Macaca mulatta: one gene and its partners. The protein of the gene in region 5 purifies or fractionates together with the protein of the main gene of each other region. This does not show direct contact. Links are inferred from orthologs where the notes say so. Each region holds a gene or a part of one and is shown on either strand. Other genes may lie near its edges. The genes, in order: RIPK1, SPATA2, MAP3K7, SPATA2L and CYLD.

Evidence for each region.
Region 1: the proteins of CYLD (region 5) and RIPK1 purify together in Homo sapiens (affinity purification with western blotting; 5 studies listed by BioGRID). This does not show direct contact. The link is inferred for Macaca mulatta from reciprocal best matches to the Homo sapiens genes CYLD and RIPK1.
Region 2: the proteins of CYLD (region 5) and SPATA2 purify together in Homo sapiens (affinity purification with western blotting; 10 studies listed by BioGRID and IntAct, with this or other methods). This does not show direct contact. The link is inferred for Macaca mulatta from reciprocal best matches to the Homo sapiens genes CYLD and SPATA2.
Region 3: the proteins of CYLD (region 5) and MAP3K7 purify together in Homo sapiens (affinity purification with western blotting; 4 studies listed by BioGRID, with this or other methods). This does not show direct contact. The link is inferred for Macaca mulatta from reciprocal best matches to the Homo sapiens genes CYLD and MAP3K7.
Region 4: the proteins of CYLD (region 5) and SPATA2L purify together in Homo sapiens (affinity purification with mass spectrometry; 3 studies listed by BioGRID and IntAct, with this or other methods). This does not show direct contact. The link is inferred for Macaca mulatta from reciprocal best matches to the Homo sapiens genes CYLD and SPATA2L.

Annotation. Positions count from the first base shown.
Region 1 is NC_133409.1:180,192,326-180,197,256, forward strand, and holds the start of RIPK1 (receptor-interacting serine/threonine-protein kinase 1), read right to left. Parts: upstream 3,213-4,931; coding exon 2,955-3,212; exon of another isoform or gene 2,872-2,954; intron 2,755-2,871; exon of another isoform or gene 2,621-2,754; coding exon 2,605-2,620; exon of another isoform or gene 2,432-2,604; intron 2,225-2,431; exon of another isoform or gene 1-2,224. Other genes in the region: uncharacterized protein LOC144340588, read left to right, coding at 3,211-3,750. UniProt on the Homo sapiens protein: Serine-threonine kinase which is a key regulator of TNF-mediated apoptosis, necroptosis and inflammatory pathways.
Region 2 is NC_133415.1:102,751,842-102,756,800, forward strand, and holds the start of SPATA2 (spermatogenesis-associated protein 2), read right to left. Parts: upstream 3,071-4,959; 5' UTR 3,042-3,070; intron 1-3,041.
Region 3 is NC_133409.1:95,449,981-95,453,233, reverse strand, and holds the end of MAP3K7 (mitogen-activated protein kinase kinase kinase 7), read right to left. Parts: intron 1,842-3,253; coding exon 1,661-1,841; 3' UTR 773-1,660; downstream 1-772. UniProt on the Homo sapiens protein: Serine/threonine kinase which acts as an essential component of the MAP kinase signal transduction pathway. Plays an important role in the cascades of cellular responses evoked by changes in the environment.
Region 4 is NC_133425.1:85,142,299-85,147,316, reverse strand, and holds the start of SPATA2L (spermatogenesis-associated protein 2-like protein), read left to right. Parts: upstream 1-1,619; 5' UTR 1,620-1,682; exon of another isoform or gene 1,683-1,819; intron 1,820-2,066; 5' UTR 2,067-2,067; coding exon 2,068-2,370; intron 2,371-4,980; coding exon 4,981-5,018.
Region 5 is NC_133425.1:46,201,593-46,205,872, reverse strand, and holds part of CYLD (ubiquitin carboxyl-terminal hydrolase CYLD), read right to left. Parts: intron 3,023-4,280; exon of another isoform or gene 3,020-3,022; 5' UTR 2,870-3,019; coding exon 2,366-2,869; intron 969-2,365; coding exon 666-968; intron 1-665. UniProt on the Homo sapiens protein: Deubiquitinase that specifically cleaves 'Lys-63'- and linear 'Met-1'-linked polyubiquitin chains and is involved in NF-kappa-B activation and TNF-alpha-induced necroptosis.

The DNA of each region.
Region 1 (4,931 bases), on a different chromosome or scaffold from region 5:
CTCCCAAAGTGGTGGGATTACAGGCGTGAGCCACTGCGCCTGGCCCATTTTGGCAATTTCTTAACCAAGCTCTTCTTACCATAAGATGAAGCAACTCCACACCTTGATATCTACCCAAATGAGTTGAAAGCTTACGCCCAAACACCTGTACAAGAATGTCTATAGCAGCTTTATTCATAATTGCCAAAACTTCAGGGCATCTAAGATGTCATTTAATAGGTGGACAGATAAGCTGTGGCACATCTATACAATGGAATATTAAGGCTCAAAAGAAATGAGCTCTGAAGCCACAAAAAAAAAAATTCTGGAGCAATCTTAAATGTATAAATCTAAGTGAAAGAAGCCAATCTGAGAAGACTACATAATGTATGATTCCAACTATGTGACATTCTGGAAAAGGAAAAACTGTGGAGATAGTAAAAAAGATTAGTGGTTGCCAGGGATTTGCAGGGAAGGAGGGATAGGTAGGTGGAGCACAAGGGATTTTTAGGGCAGTGGAATCTGATATTACAGTGTTGGGTACATCTCATTATACATTTGTCAAATGTATCTTGAATATACACAAAGAGCAAAACCTAACAAGCTCTGGACTTTGACTGATAATGTATATGTTTTATCCATATTGGTTCATTTTTATAACCGTGTATCTATGTTGGTTCATCAGGTGTAACAAATACCCCACACTAATGCAGGATGTTGATGGTAGGGGAGGCTATACAGTCCAGGATGTTTGTGGGAGGGGATATTTTCTTTCTGCTTTGTTTTGCTGTAAACTAAAACAGCTCTAAAAGTCTATTCATTATTTTTTAAAAGATGTATACATACCAAAAAAGACGAAAGGCAGAGCTATTCACTCAACAAAGCTTTCTACTGTATGCCAAATAGGTACTAGATACAAGAGTATCTGGTGATAGATACAAGAGATACAAAAAGGAATTCATTCCTTCAATAAATATTTACTGAGCATCTGTTCTAGGCAGTGAAGCCTCGGTTGTGAATTAAACATAAAAAATCTCTGTTCTGGCTGTGTGGAGTGGCTCCCACCTGTAATCCTAGCACTTCGGGAGGCTCAGTCGGGTGGATTGCCTGAGCTCAGGGGTTACGGACCAGCCTGGCAAACATGATGAAGCTAAAAATACAAAAATTAGCTGGGCGTGGTGGCGCACACCTGTAGACCCACCTACTCAGGAGGCTGAGGTGGGAGAATTGCTTGAACCCAGAAGGTGGAGGTTGCTGTGAGCCAAGATTGCACCACTGCACTCCAGCCTGGGTGACAGAGCAAGACTCCGTCTCAAAAAAAAAAAAGGATAAATAAATAAAAATCTCCGTGTTCCATTTGTGGAACTTGCATTCTAATGGGGAAGACAAAAAGTCATTGCCCATCACTGTCCTCTGGACATCATGTGATCTTGGAAGATTGGAAATGCATTGTTTTTGCTTCATTTTGTTTTCAGTGCTCTAACTCAGAAACATCTATTTGGGAGCTTTACTCATTACTCCCAGCAAAAGCCATGAGTGTAGATGGTACATGAGACGAAGGAACTGGTCCTTGCAGAACACCAGAATGGAAAAGGCAAGAAACAGCCCAAGGTGAGGAAGGAAAACCAGCGAGAACAAAGAGCTAGTACTACCTCTGAAGCTAGTGGAAGCCAAAGTGTGAATGTGAGGGGGTGGGTCTCTTCGCCACAGGTCTGAAACCAAATGAACCCCCACCCCCAGGCTGCAGTTCCCAGTGCCCTTGGAAATGAGACCCTCACTCCTCCAGGTGAGCCTGGGAGACCTCCCTGACCCCTTTCCATCCCCCTCGTCCCCCACACCCATCCCCAAGGCCTGCCCTCTACGCCCACATTTCGCCCACATTTCTTTCCACTTCGGATCCTGTGCCTGGCCTAATGCGCAGGCCCCCTCCCGAGCCTCTGCTCACCTTAGAGCCACTCCTCACTGTCGGGACACCTCATGTGTGCTCCCCAAAACGCCACGCAAAGCACTGGAGAGCCTTGGACAATGAAGACAACCCGCTTCCCTCAGCCACCACCATGCCACAGCCACACAACATCCTCAGAAAGCGGTGTCTTAATCCTCTTGGCCTTCCTCCTAAATCTCCCAGAACCCTTAGGATCCGCTCAAAGCCACCTTGTTAAAACGGTTTCTTCTCCACCTGCCCCCTCCCTTGATCCAGCCTCGCTCAGGTCACAGCCTCCACCTCTGGCCATCCTGAACCCCTCCCAAAGTCACCTCTTCACAAACTCCTGGTCCCCCTTACAAGGCCCCATGTCCATCACGGGATTAATTCTACTCACCCTCAAACACCGCGGCCTGGAGGCTTGATTCCCACCCTAAAGGAGGTTCCCTTGACCCCGCCGGCGCAACCCTCCCCAGCACGACCGTTCGTCCCGAAGGTGACTCCTCATCTTGCTGGCGGTCCCCACAGACCGCAGGCCCTGCAGGCGACGGCTGAGCCTGGCTTCGCGGATTCACAGTCCCTGGAAATATGCTCCGGGGAAGGACGGGCCCCATCCGTTTCGCTGAATTATTGAAAGAATTAGGATGGGTAAGAGTGCTCGGATTTGGAACTGGAGACTGGTGACTTTGAAAGAGAAGTACCGGGACAGACGTCATCCTGCGGATCCCAGAGCAGAGAGGAGCAGTGAGAAAACAGGGCTGGCAGGTGGGGAGGGGCTGCAGGGGAGAGCTTCGGCCAGAGAAGGGCAGCGAGGAGGCGTGGGGGAGGGCGGCGTCCGCGCTGGCGGGGAGCTGCGGAGGCGGAAACCGGCTGCGCGCTGCAGGGGACCCCCCAGAGACCGTTCCTGACCCGCCGAGACACCACCGCTTCCCCGGGGCTCTTGGATGAGCGACCTCTCCTGTCCTCAGGTCTCATCTTTCGGTGGCAGCCGGGGGACCTGAAGCTCGCCATTCCCGTTCCCGACCCCGGCCCAGCGCGGGGACGCCCTCACCTGCCACCTCGTCTCCGTGCCGCGCTCCGAGCCTGGACGCCGATCCCCAGGGCCCAAGACGTGACTCTGCTGCTGCTGCTGCTGCTGCTGTCGCCGCGGACTCCCGCTCGGGCCTTGGCGGGCACCGCCTTTTAAACTGTCTGGGATTGTTAGGCTCCTCCCATACTTGACAAGCCGCCTGACTGGGGCTGCGCCTGCCGGGACTATCCTGGGAGGCGCGCGCGTTCGCGCGGTGGCGGAGGGCAGGGCTAGGAACATGGGAAGGTCAGGGTCCCCCCAGTTCGCCCCGCCCAGGGCGAAGTCCGCGAATGTTCCCGCCGGTCTGAGGTCAGCCAGGTTCCCGAGGCGCGCACCCAGCCTCGCCACCCGCAGCGCCCTGCGCGGGGACGCCCGCACCTACCGCCTGGTCCAGCGCCGCCGCCGTTTCCGTGCCGCGCTCCGAGCCTGGACGCCGATCCCGGAGGCGCAGGACCCGGCCCTGCTGCTGCGCTCGCCGCGGACTCCCACTAGGGCCTTTGCGGACACCGCTTTTATACCGCAGGATCGGGCGCCCCCCCCCCCCCGCCCCGCTTTCTGCCTTCAGGCGGAGCCTGGCGGGACCAGCGCGTGGTGGCCGAGGTCAGGGCTAGGGGAAGGGGCAGGCCAGGGTCCCCCAGTCCTCCCGGCCCAGGGCGAGGTCCGCGAATGCTCCCGCCAGCCTGAGGCCAGCCAGGTTCCCAAGGCGCGCGCCCGGCCTCGGCCACCGGCAGCACCATGGCCGCTTCGGGATCGGGTTCTGAACCCAGAGAAGTTCTGAGCCCAGAGAAGTGGGTGGGAGCCTGCGGGGCCCAGGGCCTCCGCGCCAAGAAACAAGGGGTCTGCGGGAAAGGAGACAGAGCCTGGAACCCTGGGCTTTTCTACCTCAGGAAGCGAAGTCGGGTGACAGCCAAGCTCCATGTTCCAGTGGGAAGGCCCCATGGGTCTGTGTTCCACGCCTCTTGTCATGAATATGAGGGATTCACTTAGAAGCAAAGCATTAGTTCCAGGTCCCACCACTAACTAGTACCATTTGTTCCAGGTCCCACCACTACCTAGTACCATTTGTTCCAGGTCCCACCACTAACTAGTACCATTTGTTCCAGGTCCCACCACTAACTAGTACCGGTCCCGGGCCCAGAACCAGGCTCCTCACTCCTGGCGCCCGAGCCCCTCTCCAGCCACAGGTGCTTGGGCTGCGGTGCGGTGTAAGCAGCCCCATTTTCCCGCGAAGTGATGGGAAGAGACACTGAGTCACATGGGCTCCGGACACTCCTTGTGTCCTCTCTCGGGGGTCCAGAGGCAGGGACTCGGGGGAGTTGATGCAGCAGTTCGTAATGTCACCAGATATCCCCCCCACCCCGCTCCATCCTAGGCTGGACGCAATTGGAAGCATTTCATGTCGGCACGGTGACGTCCAGAGGAAGAGAACGGACCAAATGCCTCTCTCTGGAGCACCGAGTGTCTCCCAGAAGCCGTGTCCTCCTGTTGCGAACTGACCAGAATTAGGGCTTTCTCCTGAGGGCCTGAATTAGGGAGAGCCAGGTGCCTAAGGCACAACATTTCAGGAGGGCCACACTCATAGGTGCCAGCCCTGCATTTGCGTGGCCCTGAGAATCAGAGCCTCCTTCAATTTTATACCCTAGGTGCCTAGCTTGTTTTTTTAATTAACACCCTTATTAAGGTTGGGTAGGTGGTTCACGCCTGTAATCCCAGCATTCTGGGAGGCCAAGGTGGGCAGATCACGATGTCAGGAGTTCTAGACCAGCCTGGCCAACGTGGTGAAACCTCGTCTCTACTAAAAATACAAAAATTAGCCGGGCATGGTGGCGCATGCCTGTAGACCCAGCTACTCAGGAGGCTGAGGCAGGAGAATCACTTGAACCCAGAGGCAGAAGTTGTAGTGAGCCGAGATTGCACCACTGTACTCCATCCTGGGCGAGACAGGGCAAGACTCCGTCT
Region 2 (4,959 bases), on a different chromosome or scaffold from region 5:
CTGAGGAAGCTGAGGCAGGAGAATGGCATGAACACGGGAGGAGAGGCTGAAGTGACCTGAGATCGTGCCATTGCACTCCAGCCTGGACAACAGAGCAAAAACTCCATCTCTACATAAAGAAATGTATTTTGCAACACTGGAGAGGATAGTCACACATGCATTTACCATTCTTGACTTAGAGAAGCTGCAATCACGCCTCTGGCCCCAGGGCTTGTTTTCTGGTAGCCTGAGAACCATTCAAACACAGAGACATTAAGTTTCTGAATACTGCTGTAATTTTTTTCCAAGGAAGTCAGCCTTGAACTCAAAGAGACTGATTTTTTACAAAGTCAGCCAGTCGCAAGCTCGGCTCAGCGTATGCTGCTCTATAATCGCACCACAGTCCACACCCTTGTTTGTTGCTGAAAAACAATAAATAAAGCAAAGGGATCCAAACAGCCCAGCTGATGTTCAAAATCTGAACAACAAGGACAGGAAGTCCAAAATATCTAAAACAAATCTCCAAACAACCTGGGTAGGTGAGGGAAAAGGCGGAAGAAAGTAAAAGCTAAAAGATAATTAAGGGCAAGACATGCCTGGACAACATAGACTCCATCTCTACAAAAATAATAATAATAATAATTATTATTATTATTATTAGGTGGGTGTGGTGACATGCACCTATAGTCTTAGCTACTTGGGAGTCTGAGGTGGGGGGATCCACTGAGCCCAGGAGTTTGAGGCTGCAGTGAGCTATGATGGCACCACTGCACTCCAGCCTGGGTGACAGAGCAAGATTCTGTCTCAATCAGTCAGTAAGGAAAGGAAAGAAAGAGACTAACAATTACTGAGGTCCTACTATGTGCTAAGTATTGGGCTTCCCACTTTACCTACATCATCCCATTTAATCCTCACAACTCTATAAGGAAAACAGGCTCTCCCATTAAAACAACCTGTCCAACAGAGTTTGAAAGGATCAGAGCTGGAATCTGAACTCTTGTTGGCAGGCCCTGATGCCTGGGGCTTTCTCCAATTTATCTCACTCATTTATTGTTACATCAGTACCATTTACCAAGGGATTACTGTGTGGCAGCTCTCTGCTAACTGCTCTATGAAAAACAATGAAATCCATAGGATAGATCCAAGGTTAAAGAGGAAACTGAGGCTCGGAGAGGCCAACTCACTTACCCTAAGTCATAAGGCTAGGAAGAAGTGGCTCTGAGCTCTGAACCTAGGTCTAATGCCAAAACTCTGACTCTTGCAAAGCCATCCTGCTGCATCTGCTGGACAGCTCTACTCGAAAGTGTCTGGCTAAGTTAGAATGCCTTATGGCGGCGCGAGCAGAGTTGAGTTACAAAAATTCCTGTAGTAGCAAAATTCCCATCTTCCCACACCGAATGGGGCTAGGAGAGCTAATCTCTATATGATGTAAGCTCAAGGGCCGAGGAAAGAGGCTGGCCGGAGACATCGGCCAGTGATGAAGCAGCTGACATCATCCCTGCTGAAAACATTTTCTGAGAATACAAGATGCCTTGTAGCTGGTCATAGCTGGTGTTTTTTCTGAGCACAGAGCCAGCAATTCATTCCCAGCACTCTGCAAGAACAACAAAATACGCTCTCTGCAAAAACATCGTGGTTACAGGAGACCGAGACAGCCCAACGACAGAAGCTGTTAATTTCTCCAAGCAACCCAAGGATTGGAACGCCAAGCCGTGCCAGTCTGGTGGGAGAAAAAAAAAAAAACCCAAAAGACAAAAAAACAGCACTGTGAATATCCTGAACATAGAGGCAGGCAGGTGCCCAGAGTCAACAGCTCCAGTCAGCACCTCCTGAACCCACAATCTAGGCACCCTCTTGAAAAGCAAGTCAATGGAAAGAGAGATATTGCAGTCAGGGAGGCAGTGGCTTATTTAGTTATTTTCTAAACATCTAAGAGGAAAGCTGTATCTGTTTAGACTCCCACTGCATGGAAGTGAAGTGATTCCGAGTAACAAAGCATTCGCTTGGCTTTACCTCAGCTGGCCCATTCAAGCAGAAATGTTCCCCAAGCAGTATTTGAAGGCGCCCCCTCTCTGCACAGGCAGAGCTATTTTGGTCTGTGCACTGCCCCTGTCCACAGGTTTACACATCCCTGGTCTAGCTCCATCAGCCTCCAAACAGCAGACGAGGAAGTCAGTTCAACCCCCTCCACCTCCCCACCCACACCAATGCACTCGTTCCAAGCAAGAGGCTCCGAGACACATCCAAGGCACCTTCCACGGGCTGTGAAACACCAGAAGGTCCCCACACTCCTACTAGATTCCAAAGAAATTCACACAGAGTCCTTCCAAACCTCTGAAAATAACCTCAGCGGTGCCGAAAGAAGCTTCCCTAGTGGCAGCTGCCTCTGAAGGAAGCTGTTTCCCTCCCTGCAAGGGACAGAAGCTGGCGGCTGCTAAGTCCCAGCTCGGTCATTCCTACAGCCTCGGGGGGCCACGTCAGTTGTGAAAAACAGCCCAGTCTCAAATTCTGGCCCTCCCCACGGGTTCGTGAATTGAATGAAGTAACAGGAACTATCACTTACTGGACGCCTGCTGTATGCCAGGGGCCCTGCATGATCTCATTCCATCTCTACTCCAGCCCTAGCAACCAGGTTCAATCACACTTAAACAGGCAACTGAGGCTCTTAAGATGAAGTGACTTATCCAAGGTCACACAGTGAGTACAAACCCAGGTGTGCCGCCAGAGAGTCTGAACTGGGAACCCCTGCGCAGTAACCGCCTCGTGGCGAAATCGGGGTGTCCTTCTGTTTGGCCAGTCGCCGAAGAGAGGGTGCTCCTCTTGAGCGGCCCTGAGCCACCCTCGGTGGGTTCCAGGAGCTTACAAGGCAGCTCCCAGGAGAATGGGGATCCTGAGGATAGGCTGGGGGTCCCGGGAGCGCCGAAACAACGGGCCCACCTGTAGTCCTGCCTGACGTGAGGGGACCCCGCTCACGGGCCAGCAGAGCCCTGCCGCTGTCTGGCGCCCCCTCCACCTGGGGAAGCCCCGGACACAGTTTCCGCTCGCGGCCGCCCGTCACTCACCCTGACACTGCCGCCGAGGGCTGCCCGGCCGAGGGAAGCAAGCGGGAGGCGCGGCTGCCGCCGGAGCCGGGCCCCACTGGGCTCTAGCCGCTCCGGCCGGCTGCAGGGGTACTGAGACCAGTACCCGCGGGCCAGCAGCGACCCGGAAACACTCGGCCCGGAAGTGAAGTCGCCAGGAGGCGGGTCCGAAGAGAGGGTGGACCACGGCTGCGCGCTGGCTCCGGGAAGCGGTCGATGCCCGCGGCCGACGGAGACTACAAGCCAGAGGCCGAGAACAAAGCGGAAGGCCGAAGAACGAGGACGAAAGCGGCGGAACGGCAGTTTGGAGCCTAACGAGCCATCGTCGCGTCTGGAGCTAGGACCCGGAAGTAAACAGGCCGGACGTGACGGAAGCCACTCGGTTTAGGGATGGTGGCTGGCCGGGTTGTCATGGAAACCGCTACGGAGCCTGGAGCTGCATTCATGACTCCGCACAAGCAAGCAGGGGCTAACGGTCGGATCCCTCGCCCCCATTGTACGAACAGAAATACTGAGGCTCAAAGAGAGCCAGTGAGACGCTGAAATCACGCGTGATTGGAATCCAGCCTTGCTAGGGCTGTCGGTGTTACGGGCTGTGGGCGACGGTTAAGAGCGTGGGTCCCATTTTTAGCTTTGCCACTTACTAGCTGTGTGACCTTGGACAAGTTACCTAACCTCTCTGAGTCTCAGCTTTATAACCTGTAAAATTAATAAAGCCAGGCGTGGTGGCACGCGACTGTAGTCCCAGCTACTCGTGAGGCTGAGGCGGGAGGATCGCTTGATCCAAGGTGTTCGAGACCAACCTGGGCAACATAGCAAGGCCATGTCTCTTAAAAAAAAAAAAAAAAAAAAAAAAAAAAGCCGGGCACGGCGGCTCACGCCTATAATCCCAACACTTTCAGATAAATTATATATATATAAAATATATATAAATATAAAATATATATATAAAATCTGACATCCCCACCAGACCCTGAGCTTCTTATTCATCTGTTTCCCCCCAAGCTCCGCACATGTCTGATGAGGAGGCACACAATAGATGTTCATTGATTGTAGGATTCTCACTCTGAGTCTCGGTGACCCCAGCTAAAACCGGTGGGCCTTGTGTGATGAATCAGTGACTTTAATACTGGGAAACGTTTGGAGAACCAGCAATCTGCTGTCCAAACAGTAGCATTACTGTGTTTACCTGTAATTGCCTGAGCACCGCTCAAGGTCCCTGTGTTCTTTATCAGCTCATGTTTAAGCTCCTCTCTTCATTATCTGCAACGTGATAATGTTCACAGGAATTTCATCTGAGACAAACTGTCCCACCTTAAGTCTGCCTTTACAACAACTCAACACTCTGGTTTGGTAGCTCTTACAATATTGCATTTTCACGTGGGACTGCTAAAAAAAAAAAAAGTCCCCTCCAGCTCTGTGGGTCTGTGACAGCCAAAAGAGAAACAAAGATTTTGAAGAAGGGCTTTACCAGTAGGAAACCCTGGTCATCGAAACTTGGTGACATCTACTATCAGAAAAGACCCAAAGTCTCCAAAGAAAGTCACATTTCTCATCTTTTTTTTTTTTTTTTTTAAAGATGGAGTCTCGTTCTGTCACCCAGGCTGAAGTGCAATGGCACGATCTCAGCTCACTGCAAGCTCCAAGCTCCGCCTCTCGGGTTCACACCATTCTCCTGCCTCAGCCTCCCGAGTAGCTGGGACTACAAGGGCCCGCCACAACGCCTGGCTGATTTTTTGTATTTTCAGTAGAGACGGGGTTTCACCATGTTAGCCAGGATCGTCTGGATCTCCTGAACTCGTGATGCACCCGCCTTGGCCTCCCAAAGTGCTGGGATTACAGTTGTGAGCCATCGCGCCCAGCCTTTTTTTTTTTTTTTTCTTTTTTTTTTGAGACAGAA
Region 3 (3,253 bases), on a different chromosome or scaffold from region 5:
AAATTATTTGGGAACAATAACACTCCTTTTATTTAAATTAAATGATAGAAGACATTTATTTCCGGGAAGCTTTCTAAAATAGCTTTTGAAGAAGCTAAAAATAACAGTTTAGTACAAACTGTCCTTCACCTGTATTGCTTGTATACACAAGGAATTCATTATAAAACTCAGTGGTAGGAGGAAAAAATAATGGAAGAAAAAGTTACCTGCTTTAGCATTTTAAAGAATAGTTTTGATAACTTCTTAGATCTTGCTTATCTGAAATAGAGCAAAAACTGCAATACGGTCATGACAGAATTCTAATAATCACAGCAATTAATGCCTTCATTTTGAACTTTTTCTTCCTAAAACATTAATGCTATAAAAATCAGATTGATGACATCCTTGTTTGAAAGACACCTTGTATTGGTATCAAAATGTGACTTATTTTAACACCAACTGAAAAAATATAGTTTGCATAGTCTATTATTTCAATGTCATATTATTATTAAAGTTATTCTGAAGGTTTTGGTAGCAAAATTACTGGTAACAATATAAATACTCTGTAAGTGTTGAAATTATTTTAAAAGTGTAGAAAGGCCGCAGGCATTCTATGGGATTGTAAGGAAAATCAAATATTTCAATATCCAGGATAGTTAGGATACTTGTTGAATTTATATTTACTTTTTTAACTTCCTTCTGATTTGCCTGGTTTATTCCTCATTTGGTATCATAAAAAGAAATTTAAGCCCAAGCCTTTTTTAGCTGGAGCAATAATTTCCATTTTCCATTATTTTTCTTCATTTTTTGTTTCAAATACATGAGAAAACAATCCAAGAATCATTGCAGGAAGAAATGATCATTTAAGCTCAATCATGTTCTTTTGCCTTTTAATTTCATTTAAGAGATTAATATTAGTCATAAAAGCTTTACAGTTTCAACACACATACACACAATCACAGAATTAAAAATCTTTACTCCTTAAAAAAAAATGAGTTCCATTTTGTTCAATGTATCACAATCAAATCTTAGTCTAACAAAATCCGGTAAAACTGCTTTCATTAAATAGAGCAGCTGCCACTTACCTTTACATATTTTACGGATGGAACTGAGTTCAGTACTGATCCAAGGATGCTGGCATCAAAGCCCTTACACTGAACTATCCCCAAAGATTCTGTATTTCCATAATATACCACCAATCACTCTAAATTTATAATACCCTGTCTTTAACTTGGTATATACCATCTTTTGGGAAAAAAATTATTAGTATTTTGAGATGAGATACAAGAATAAAGTCATTCTTGAGGTTCCACCTCTAATATGAAAAAATGGACGATGTTTGCACATAGCAGCTAGTTTGATACCTCCTGTTCTGTTCTGTTAGGCTAGCCTTCACACAATGAGCATGCATATACAGCCACAGTTCACCGCATCTGTTTTGAAGTTGCAAAGTGCTGCTCATTCAAGTCACAGATGCTACCATGTTATGCAATGAAACAGTAAAATTGTATGTCCACCATGAGAAGAGGAAAATAAACAATGAAACAAATGCAGCAAATATAGGCAGTTGGCATTCAGAACACGCCAAAAAGCTAACACTCATGAATTGTCATTTTAAGGTTTTCCTTTCCTTAAAAAAAGTCTTTCTTTGCATATTTCAAAATGTAACGGTCCCAGAGAATCATGAAGTGCCTTGTCGTTTCTGCTGCTGACTTCTGATGACCTCTAGTTGTTTTTTGCATTGCTGGTAGTAAGTAGAAAGGCTTTTGTTTTCATCTAAAAGCTTTTTATGTTCCTGTACCAGGCGAGATGTATTTTGCTGGTCCTTTTCATCCTGGTCCAGTTCTGCAACTAGTTCTTGCCTACAAACAAATACCACATAATATTACACATGATGGAAAAATTCATACCTTACTGGCTGATGATGGAAGCTCAATTAATGAGAATTTTTATTCTGGGTTTATCATTTTGCATCTTAGGTACACTGCTCAAGCATAATTATGGACTGGGGTAGAACTCTCATCTATTTCTAGTGTAATCATATAAATATCATAATCCTTTTATTAAGTAACTGTACTTGGATAAATAGTGAAGCAGATAAAATGGTAAAATAAAAGTTTCAGAAAATTTCATTTTCTATCCTCTTTTTGTATAGGAAGGATGAAAAAAGGCTGGGAAAGATTCTATCTGGCTATGGGAAAATATCATGAAGTTTTTATCATTCACATTCTACTTTTATACTCATTCGCATTCTGAAGTCACAATCCTACTTAACTATAGTAGAGAGTGGTAAGCTAACAGAAAATTTGCAAGCTAATTAAAATAAATGCTATCGAATTTAAAGCTTTTTCCCATTTTAAAGCAGTGAGAAAAATTACAAAGTACCACTTCTTTTAAAATACTTACATTTGCAAGCATTTTCAGGAAAGACCCTCATTCTTTTATAGTCTGATAAACTTATTTAAGTCCCTTTTATTCGGGAACTATTAAGTATTCCCAAAAAAGATGCATCTTTAGGCATTTCCTAAAGTGAGGCTACTGGATATAAATGAATAATAAAAGGTCCTTAAGCAAAATAATTACCTAATACTATTTCTGAAAGTATTTAAAATTAATTAAAACTGTCACAGTTTTCACAGCCAACAGCCTACTCTACCATTTGTTTTTTCCCAGCATAGAATTCTTCTTTCAAATGATTAAAGTATGGCAAAAGTATAGGTTAAATACGTGAAATAAGAAATCGAGCTTTTTCAACATAAAGTGCCAGCAGTTCCATAATTACTTCTACGATTTCCAGACTGTAGTATTTAATTTCCTATTTAGGCTTACCTTTCAAATACTAGGTTGGTTCCATTTAAATCACTGTATCAATAAATTGTGATAAAACAATCTATTCTCTCTTTGTTTTTGAAGCACATACAGAAAGCTTTTCACAAATTTAGGAAAAAAAACTTTTATTTAGATTAAAATTAATGAAGGGAATCCTATTATCATACATATATAAAGTTGCCAAAATTTTTTCCTTAACACTTCATTTTAGTTACCACTAATAATTTAGTTTCCTAAGTATAAAACTTCCTGAAGGTCATGCTTAAGAAAACTGAAGATACATACATATTTAAGAACTGTGAATGTAGTAGTAAGGAAATTAGACTGGATTTCTTTAAAAAGGGAGGAAGGCAGTTTCTATAACACCTTAGAAAAACACTCAGTTATGAAATACAGTCTTTTAATAAGTAATCCAATCCTAAACATACACTTGGAAAAAGTGTAT
Region 4 (5,018 bases), about 39 Mb from region 5:
CTGGTGCCACCAAATTCAGGGAGGACGAAGGCAGAGCAGTTACCTCCACCCTCCTCCGCATCAGAAGAAGAATAAAATAAAGGAGTTGAGGCTTACGAAGTTAGCTGCCCCGAGAACTGGTGTGGACTCATGGTGGCACTGGACACCAAGGCTGGGTTCAGTAAACTGTAAGTAAAAGAACTCCCTGTCCAGAGGTGGCCACCTACATAGGGAGATCCACCGACTCCATTACAATTTTTTTTTTTTTTTTTGCAGACAGAGTCTCCTGTCGCCCAGGCTGGAGTGTAGTGGCGCAATCTTGGCTCACTACAACCACAACCTCCGCCTCCCAGGTTCAAGTAATTCTCCTGCCTCAGCCTCCCAAGTAGCTGGGATAACAGACATGAGCCACCACGCCTGGCTAATTTTTTTATTTTTAATAGAGACGGGGTTTCACCATGTTAGCCAGGCTGGTCTCGAACTCCCGACCTCAGATGATCTGCCTGCCTCGGCCTCTCAAAGTGCTGGGATTACAGGCATGAGCCACCGCTCCACGATCACAATATTTCTAAGATGCCAGCAGGGAACTAACTGCCAAATAAAAATTCTAAGAAAAATCGGGGACCTCGCCGCCCAGGCCCAGAGAAAGTTTCAACAAACTTGGGCCTTGGTTTTGGTGGCCTGGAGAGGTGAGGGACACAGACGTGAAGGAGCAGAGCCTGTCCAAAGCGGGGGTGTGGGGTGGGGGTGTCTCGGCTGGGACCTCCAAGGGTCTCCCTCATCCTCCTCTACTTCTGGGCAATGCGAGAAAGTGCCTTTAGCACAGAACAGAGGAACCCGAGCGAAGAAAACGTCCCCGGGAAGCCGTGGCCCAGATTTAGCCTGGATGGATCCGGGGCCCAGGTCAGCTTTTAGCTTAGAGAGGGGGCGGCTTCGCCCTGCCTCAGAGACCCGCCCAGACGATGCTCTCAAGGGCGGCAGATGGCAAGTGCAGGAGGAGGCCGGGAAGCGGAGCCAGCAGAAATAGAATCTGAGGTCCCCGCACCCACCTGAGGCTGCTGTTTCAGACGAGGCTGAAAGGCTTGTCCTTGCGCCCACCTTCCTCGCCGCGGGCCCCTCCCGCAAGGGGATGGCCCCGCCCGACAGGGGAGGCCCGCCCCCGGGTCCGGCCAATCCCCGCCAGGTAGTGCAGGTGGCCCCGCCCCACAGGACGGCTCTTCCCAGGATCCAGCCAATCCCCGTCAGGTAATGCCTGCGGCCCCGCCCCACAGGGGACGAGCCCGCGCACCTGCTTCCTCGCGGCCGAGGCGCCCGGGGCTGGGTCCCCGTCTCGTGGGGAGGAGCGGCCCAGGCACAACGTTCACTGAGCGCCTGCCATGAGCCCGCAGCCCTCGACCCAGGGGCGTCGTGAACGATATCGGTCCCGTAAGGGGACGGGCGACGCGGTGACAGGAGGCTCTCGGGGTGCCTCGCGCAGGTGCTCGGCCGGGCGGGACGCCGCCTCCTCCCTTGCTTCCACCAGGCCCCGCCCAGGCGCACAGGCCCCGCCCTCCTAAATTAGCCAGAGGCGGGGCCTGTGCCAAGCCCCGCCCCTAGCGTCACGGCCGCGGACCCCGGGCGGAGCCGGCTCCCGGCGGAAGCGCGCGGCGCGCGGGGAGGCCCGAACTGAGCGGCGGCGGCTGGAGAGCGCTGGGGACAGACAGGTAGCGCCGTCGCCCGCGGGGTCCGCAGCTCTGTCTGCCGGGCGAAGGGACTCTGGTCGGGAGAGGGCTCAACGGGCGGAAGCGCGTGTCTAGAGAAGGGTGCGGTCGATAACCGGGGGCGCCCCTGGAAGGCCGAGGTACCCAGGCTGGAGGGAGGGGCTGGAGGTGCGGGGGCGCCCGGCTGGAGGGACCTGGATCGCTGGGTGGGCGGACAGCTGATGGGGCCGAGGTCTCCAGGGTAGGGGGTGCCGAAGGTACCGGGGGCGCCCAGCCGGTGGGGGGGGGTCTCCAGGCTCGAGGGGTCCTGGGGACGCTGGGTGGGGGCCCGGGGAGAGAGCGGCTGGCGGGGCGCGGCCGTAGGTCCCTGACCCCCGCCCCCCGCAGGATGGGCAGCAGCTCGCTGTCCGAGGACTACCGCCTGTGCCTGGAGCGCGAGCTGCGACGGGGCCGCGCGGGCGTGTGCGGGGACCCCTCGCTGCGCGCGGTGCTCTGGCAGATCCTGGTGGAGGACTTCGACCTGCACGGGGCGCTGCAGGACGACGCGCTGGCGCTGCTCACCGACGGGCTGTGGGGCCGCGCCGACCTGGCGCCCGCGCTGCGCGGCCTGGCCCGCGCCTTCGAGCTGCTGGAACTCGCCGCGGTGCACCTGTACCTGCTGCCCTGGAGGAAGGAGTTCACCACCATCAAGGTAGGCGGAGGTCAGGAGGAGCGCGCCCCTCGTCCTGGCCTGCGGGTCGCGGGGCCGTCGACTGTGGGGGACCACGCCTTTCGGGGGAGAGGTATCCTCAGTGCCCGGTGGGCTTCTCAAGGCTCCGAGCGCTGAGGGGTCGTGGGCGTGTGGGGGCACCCACTCCTAGGGCTGAGATCATGGGGTGGGCGAGGGCAGGCTGGGTGCTGCCTACGGGGTCCTGCCCTGAGAGCTTGCGTCAGTGTCTTCCCTAAGAGGCCTCGCGGCTCCAGTTGCCATGGAAATATTAGGACAGGGGCACAGAAGGGATTTGAGGTCTCGTGGTCATCCTAGTTCCTCTAGGATATGGGCCAATCCCATTTGCAGAGGAGGACAGCAGATGGGTGCATCCCTGTGAAGTCTCAGGGCTGGCACAGACCTAGTGAACTCCTCGGCCTGGGGCCGGAGGCTGTGCCCAGGGCTGGAGGCTGTGCCCTATGGCTGGCCTGGCCCCTCTAGGTGAGCTCCTGGCGGCAGGAGGGGGCAGGGCCGCCGGGAGCTCTGAGCTAATTCGGAAGAGTAGGAAGCCGATGACGTTACTGCGCACGTGGGCGAGCTACGCCTCCGCCGGTTGCCATGGCAGCGGCCGTCTCTCCGCGGCTCCCCGGGGACACCTGCTGGTCGGAGGGGCCAGGACTCTCATTCATGAGAGAGACGGACAGGCCCGCCCTTGAGGCCTCCCAGCGGGGCAGGGCAGGGGAATAACCGGCTTCAGTGCTGGGCAGCCCTGGTTTGGACCTAGTCCTGCTGCCTCCTGGCCTCGAGGCCTTGGCCAAGTTAGCTAATCTCAGCCCCTTTCCTCCCCTGAGACAGGGACACAAGAACAGTCCAGTTCATGGGGCCAGAGGAATGAATCGAAGCCCCGAGCTGAGTGCTGCAGGCCCTGGGTGTTCCACACATGGGCCGTGTCATGCCATTAGATGCTGGGAGTGCCTGAGTTAGGGAATTTTAGTCAGGAGACGCTCGCAGTGATTGTCCTGAGGTTCCTTTAGTTCTTCACTTAACTGTAGGCTAGAAAGCACTCACCCTTGGCCGGGCGCGGTGGCTCACGCCTGTAATCCCAGCACTTTGGGAGGCCGAGGTGGGCGGATCATGAGGCCAGGGGTTCGAGACCAGCCTAACCAACATGGTGAAACCCCATCTCTATTAAAAAATACAAAAATTAGCCGGGCGCGGTGGCTCACGCCTGTAATCCCAGCACTTTGGGAGGCTGAGACAGGCGGATCACGAGGTCAGGAGATCGAGACCATCCTGGCTAATACGGTGAAACCCCGTCTCTACTAAAAATATAAAAAGAAATTAGCCAGGCGTGGTGGCGGGCGCCTGTAGTCCCAGCTACACGGGAGGCTGAGGCAGGAGAATGGCATGAACCCGGAAGCCAGAGCTCGCAGTGAGCTGAGATCCGGCCACTGCACTCCAGCCTGGGCAACAGAGCGAGACTCCGTCTCCAAAAAAAAAAAAAAAAAAACAAAAATTAGCCGGGTGTGGTGGTGGCGCCTGTAACCCCAGCTACTCAGGAGGCTGAGGCAGGAGAATCACTTGAACCTGGGAGGTGGAGGTTGCAGTGAGCCGAGATTGTGCCATTGCACTCTAGCCTGGTGACAGAGCGAGACTTCGTCTCAAAGAAGAAAAAAAAAGCACTCACCCTTCTGCTATCCCATGGCTGTCAGCCCAGTGCACAGACAGCCTCTGTAGGGCTCTGAAAACAGATGCTACACCCCCGTGGTGGAATACTACACAGCAGGGGAAATGAATGCTACAGCTTCCGTCCTGATCTTCTAGAATATAATGGAAAAGAACAAAGTTCAGAACAACACGTTTAAGAGGCTACCTGTCTAGCTTTGGTTAGAAACCTTACAAAGAAAAGAGGTGAAAAAAAACGGGGGTGGGCTACCTCATAAGAGGGGCAAACAAAATCTGTATGGGCAAATACATTCAAAACTAGATTAGGCCATCTCCACGGGTGAAGGGAGTGGTGGGAACCCAGAACAGTGGAATTTCTCAGTAAGCTCTTTAGTTTGTTCTGATTCGTGAGCCAGGTTAATGTATTAGTTGTTTTTTCCATTAAATTTTAAGAAATTCGGCCGGGCGTGGTGGCTCACACCTGTAATTCCAGCACTTGGGAGGCCAAGGCAGGGGGGCGGGGGGGATCATGAGGTTAAGAGATTAAGACCTTCCTGGTCAACATGGTGAAACCTCGTCTCTACTAAATATACAAAAATTAGCGGGGCGTGGTGGCGTGCACCTGTAATCCCAGCTACTCGGGAGGCCGAGGCAGGAGGATTGCTTGAACCTGGGAGGCAGAGGTTATAGTGAGCTGAGATTGCACCACTGCACTCCAGACAGTGCACCAGTGGTCTGCACTTTTGAGACTCTGTCTCAAAACAACAACAACAACAACAACAAATTCTCGTGTTTGGGCCTGGCCCAGACTGACTAAGCCTAGTCTCTGGGGTTGGGCCTGAGCATCAGAAGCTGCCAAGGCCTGAGCGGACAGATCCCGGACCCACTGTATCCTAGGGTCCGGCCTATGGGAGGGTGGGCAGCACTGACCGGGCCGCTCCCTTGCAGACATTTTCCGGGGGCTACGTGCACGTGCTGAAGGGTGT
Region 5 (4,280 bases):
ATTCTAATTGTCTATTCCTCAAAATCAATGTGGTTTTCCTCTACTCAGATATTTTCTATAAATGATTTTTATACTAATTATTAAAATATACTAATTATTAAAATGGTAATATAATAGTAATATACTATATTAGTATATAATAATAGTAATAATGTACTAATTATTAAAATAGTAAATATACTAATTATTAAAACCAGATCAGCCATTAAATTGTGTGGAATATCATAAAAAAACATAGATTACCCCAAAAAACTTTTTCAAAATAAAGAAAAATAGGACGTCATGTAATATATGTGCATTTTGTTTTGTTTTGTTTTGTCTACTGGTCAGCTACAATAAGGCAAATTTAAAGATTGAGAACATTACTCCAGTTTATTCAAATGGGAAAAAAAAAAACTAAATGTAATTCTACATCTAGACCCCTGTTCTATTTCAATGCTCCTTTAGCAAAGATAAATTAGAACATGCTCTTTAAAGTATTCCAAATTAGATCATGTTAAATATTCAAAGTGTTCAATTTGCAAGTAAATTGGTCCTAAAACTAATACATATATATATAAACTATACATATATAATATATATGTGTATATATGTTTATGTATATATACAAATATATACAAACTAATACATATATCACAAAGATATTTAATCCAAAAGTTTCTTACCATGTCCACACCAACAAAATATCCTAAGCTTTCTTTTCCTGGCAAAACATCACAGAATATAACTGTTCCAGATTCTATTGTTTCTCCAACCTTCAAAGAAACTCTGGAGTTTATTTCCAAAGGAGGAAGCTCGACCTGCATTGTGTCCACAGGACCTGCATAATCACTTTCCAACGCAGTGTCATCATCTTCTATGAGTTCTAGCTTGTCCAATGCAACAAACACGCCACAGTCTTCATCACACTGAAAAAGCTGTTTCCCTTGGTACACCCCGTCAGTGAAACCTTGGCCACGACCTTCTTCCTAGTTTTTAAGAGAGAGGGGAAAGAAATAGATATAGAAAGACTACTCATAGGGAAGGGGGTTCATTCTAGGGATTTCAGGAAAATCACTCTGGAAAAATTCTAAATGACACATATAATAAATAATATAATTATTAGCAGTCGCTGTTGGATTTAAGGTGTTTAAAAAAATAAGAAAGAAGTTGTATCTGATGCTGAAATATTATCTGATAATTTCAATTCATAACTCTATTATGAAAAAGCTAGGCTGAATTCCACGTTGTGATTCTAACATTAATTTGGTTATGAAAAGAAAATGTTACTTTAAAATAGCAGTAATGTTAGCTCCATTCATTAAGCACTTACTGCCAGCCACTGTGCTAAATCCTGTATCAATGTACCACAAAAATACTACAAGTCATGTACTATTAACACCACTGTACTGGTAAGCACGCAGAATGAGAGAAGTTAAGTAGCTTTGTTAAGTAACCTGGCAACCCAGCTAGTACATGGCTTAACTGGGATTCAAATTCCTAATTGTTTACAATCACTGCTTTAAAAAAAAATTAAATCAAGAAGCAAAGAAGACATGCAATTCTACTGGCAATGTCAAAATGTAACTGGCATTTCAGTTACTGTGAATGAATATTAAGTTTGGAAACATATCACAGCATTCTTGGGTCTCCTTCCAGTAGAAATAAATTCCAAGGATGTTCACATATATTATCAGGGACAATCACAAGCAAGTTTAAATTTCTGCAACTTTTTTTCAAAAATTTTATATCTAAATTGTTATTACTTAATAACATACATTAAGAAGAACTAAGAAACCTACAGATGATAATGCAAGGTAATCAACAACTTTTGATGTAACTATTTACAACTGGTAGTGTTAATGCTTAATATAGGCAATGTTAAAATTTCTAAAATATAAATGCCTGCAATAACCAGGTGAACCTCTTTGTATGTTCCTATCATAGCACATAGCTTTTTAAAACTTTCAACATCATCTTTACAGCATCGCAATTCATCATTAAAAAGTAAACAAAAAAATTAAATCAAGAAGCAAAGAAGGCATGCAATTCTATTTGCAAGAATGGCAAAATATAATTGACATTTAAGTTCTTGAGAAAGAATATTAAGCTTAGAAACATATCACAGAGTTCTTGGGTCTCTTTCCAACAGAAATAAACTCCAAGGTGATTTTCACACATATTATCAGTGATAACTATAAGCAAGTTTTGGATTATGGATTTATCCATAACATGGATTCATCAGCAAGGATGATGAATATTAAAAATTACAGAAGACTCTTGGGAAAATATTTTTGTATTTAAAGGAGAAAAATACGTATGTGCATACAAATACACATAGACACACAAACACAAACACACTACTAAAATGGTTTATCAAACTTACCAGCAATTCAACTCCAAAGAATATTCCAGAGACTGTCCTCTCTGCTAACAGTGGTCCTCTGAAGCGCACAACTCCAGGAAATTTTTCTTCCCCAGATCTCAACTGTACTTTCACAGGGCAGCCCACGTCTATTTGGAGGCCTTTACTTAGTCTGTTTCTGTTTTTAAACAGGCTGAACCTCTCCTCACAATTGGTAATTGCCAAAAGTAACTCTGTGAACTTTTCATTTATCTCTGCAACATCCTTTTCATCAACAAAGAGAACTGCATGAGGTTGCTCTAGAATTTTTAATCCAATCTGATTTTTCTTGCCTTTTGCAGAAGGAATCCTTGAATGCCCCACAGAACGATCTTGAATATACTGTCCTATACTTCCCTTCGGTACTTTAAGGAGCTTTTGTGTTTGTTTGTCTGTAACGCTGCATTCTTGAAGAAGCAAATAAAAAATCCGCTCTTCCCAGTAGGGCGAAGTAACTTTTTCTTGGCTCCATAAGCCTGAACTCATTGTGATATTAACTTCAAAATACTAATTCAAAAAAAGGAAACTACTAATAACTTTGTCATAAAACCGCAAAAAATAAATTCAGTGGCAGTCCCAAAGCATGTTTTCAGCAACGTGGTGTCCATGCTGTAAAAAGAAAGGAAATCTAAATGCCTGCTGAAGAAGCAGAAATAAACTTTAGACTTCATTCTACACGACTGAAAATTAAGACTGAAGACTTTTAAAATTTTCATTTGACCGGTAAACACATATACATAAATGAAATATTTTCAAAAAAACATCTAAAAGAGTTAAAGACATACAGTATATTACTTCTATCTACTGCAAATGTGCATATTTAATTAATGAAATCCAATTGTAAGGTACTTTCAAACACAACACAATAATGTTTGCTTCCAAGACAATGAAATTTATAAAATCAGATTCTAGTAAAAACTTTTAAAGGTTACCCTTATATACATATTCTAATTTTTAAAAAATTTATTTTTATTTATTTATTTATTTTGAGACAGGATCTCACTTTTGTGGCCCATGCTGGACTGCAGTGGCACAATCATGGTTCACTGTGGCCTCGACCTCCCAGGTTCAAGTGATCCTCCTACCTCAGCCTCCCGAGTAGCTGGTATTATAGGCACGTATCACCACACCCAGCTAAGTTTTCTATTTTTTGTAGAGACAGGGTCTCACTATGTTGCCTAAGCTGGTCTTGAACTCCTGGGCTCAAGTAATCCTCCTGTCTTGGCCTCCCACTGCGCTGGGATTACAGTCGTAAGCCACCAGGCCTGGCCCATGTTCTGACACTAATAAACTTTTAAAAGTAGCATTTGGGGCTGGGCTCTGTGGCTCATGCCTATAAATGATAGCTATGATATGGCCATATTTTGATAATGGAACATTTTACCTCTGACTAAACTTCATTTCATATATTTTGTCTGAAGATGGGCAATGTTCATCACATTAATCATAATTATCATCTAATTTCTCAAATCGCAAATATCAGATATTATAATGTGACTATATTACAAATATTTTAAAAATCAATTTTGTAGCATCAAAACTTGTACCACAGAGCAAGAGAATATCATGATATAATTGCATTCTAATTTATTTCTATGATTTCTTTTTCAAATTTTCATTTATTTTATTTATTTATTTATTGAGACAGCATCTTGCTCTGTCACTCAGGCTTGAGTACAGTGGTGTGATGATAGCTCACTGCAGCTTCAAACTCCTGGGCTCAAGTGATCCTCCCGCCTTGGCCTTCCAACGTTCTAGGATTACAGGCATGAGCAACTGCACCTGGTCCTCATTTAAAATTTTTACAAGACTAATAATCTTTCCAATGAAGTAGCCTTATTCTCAAACCTATTTTAACTGATGGTTAAAAAACTACACAATTTCATTAATTCAAACT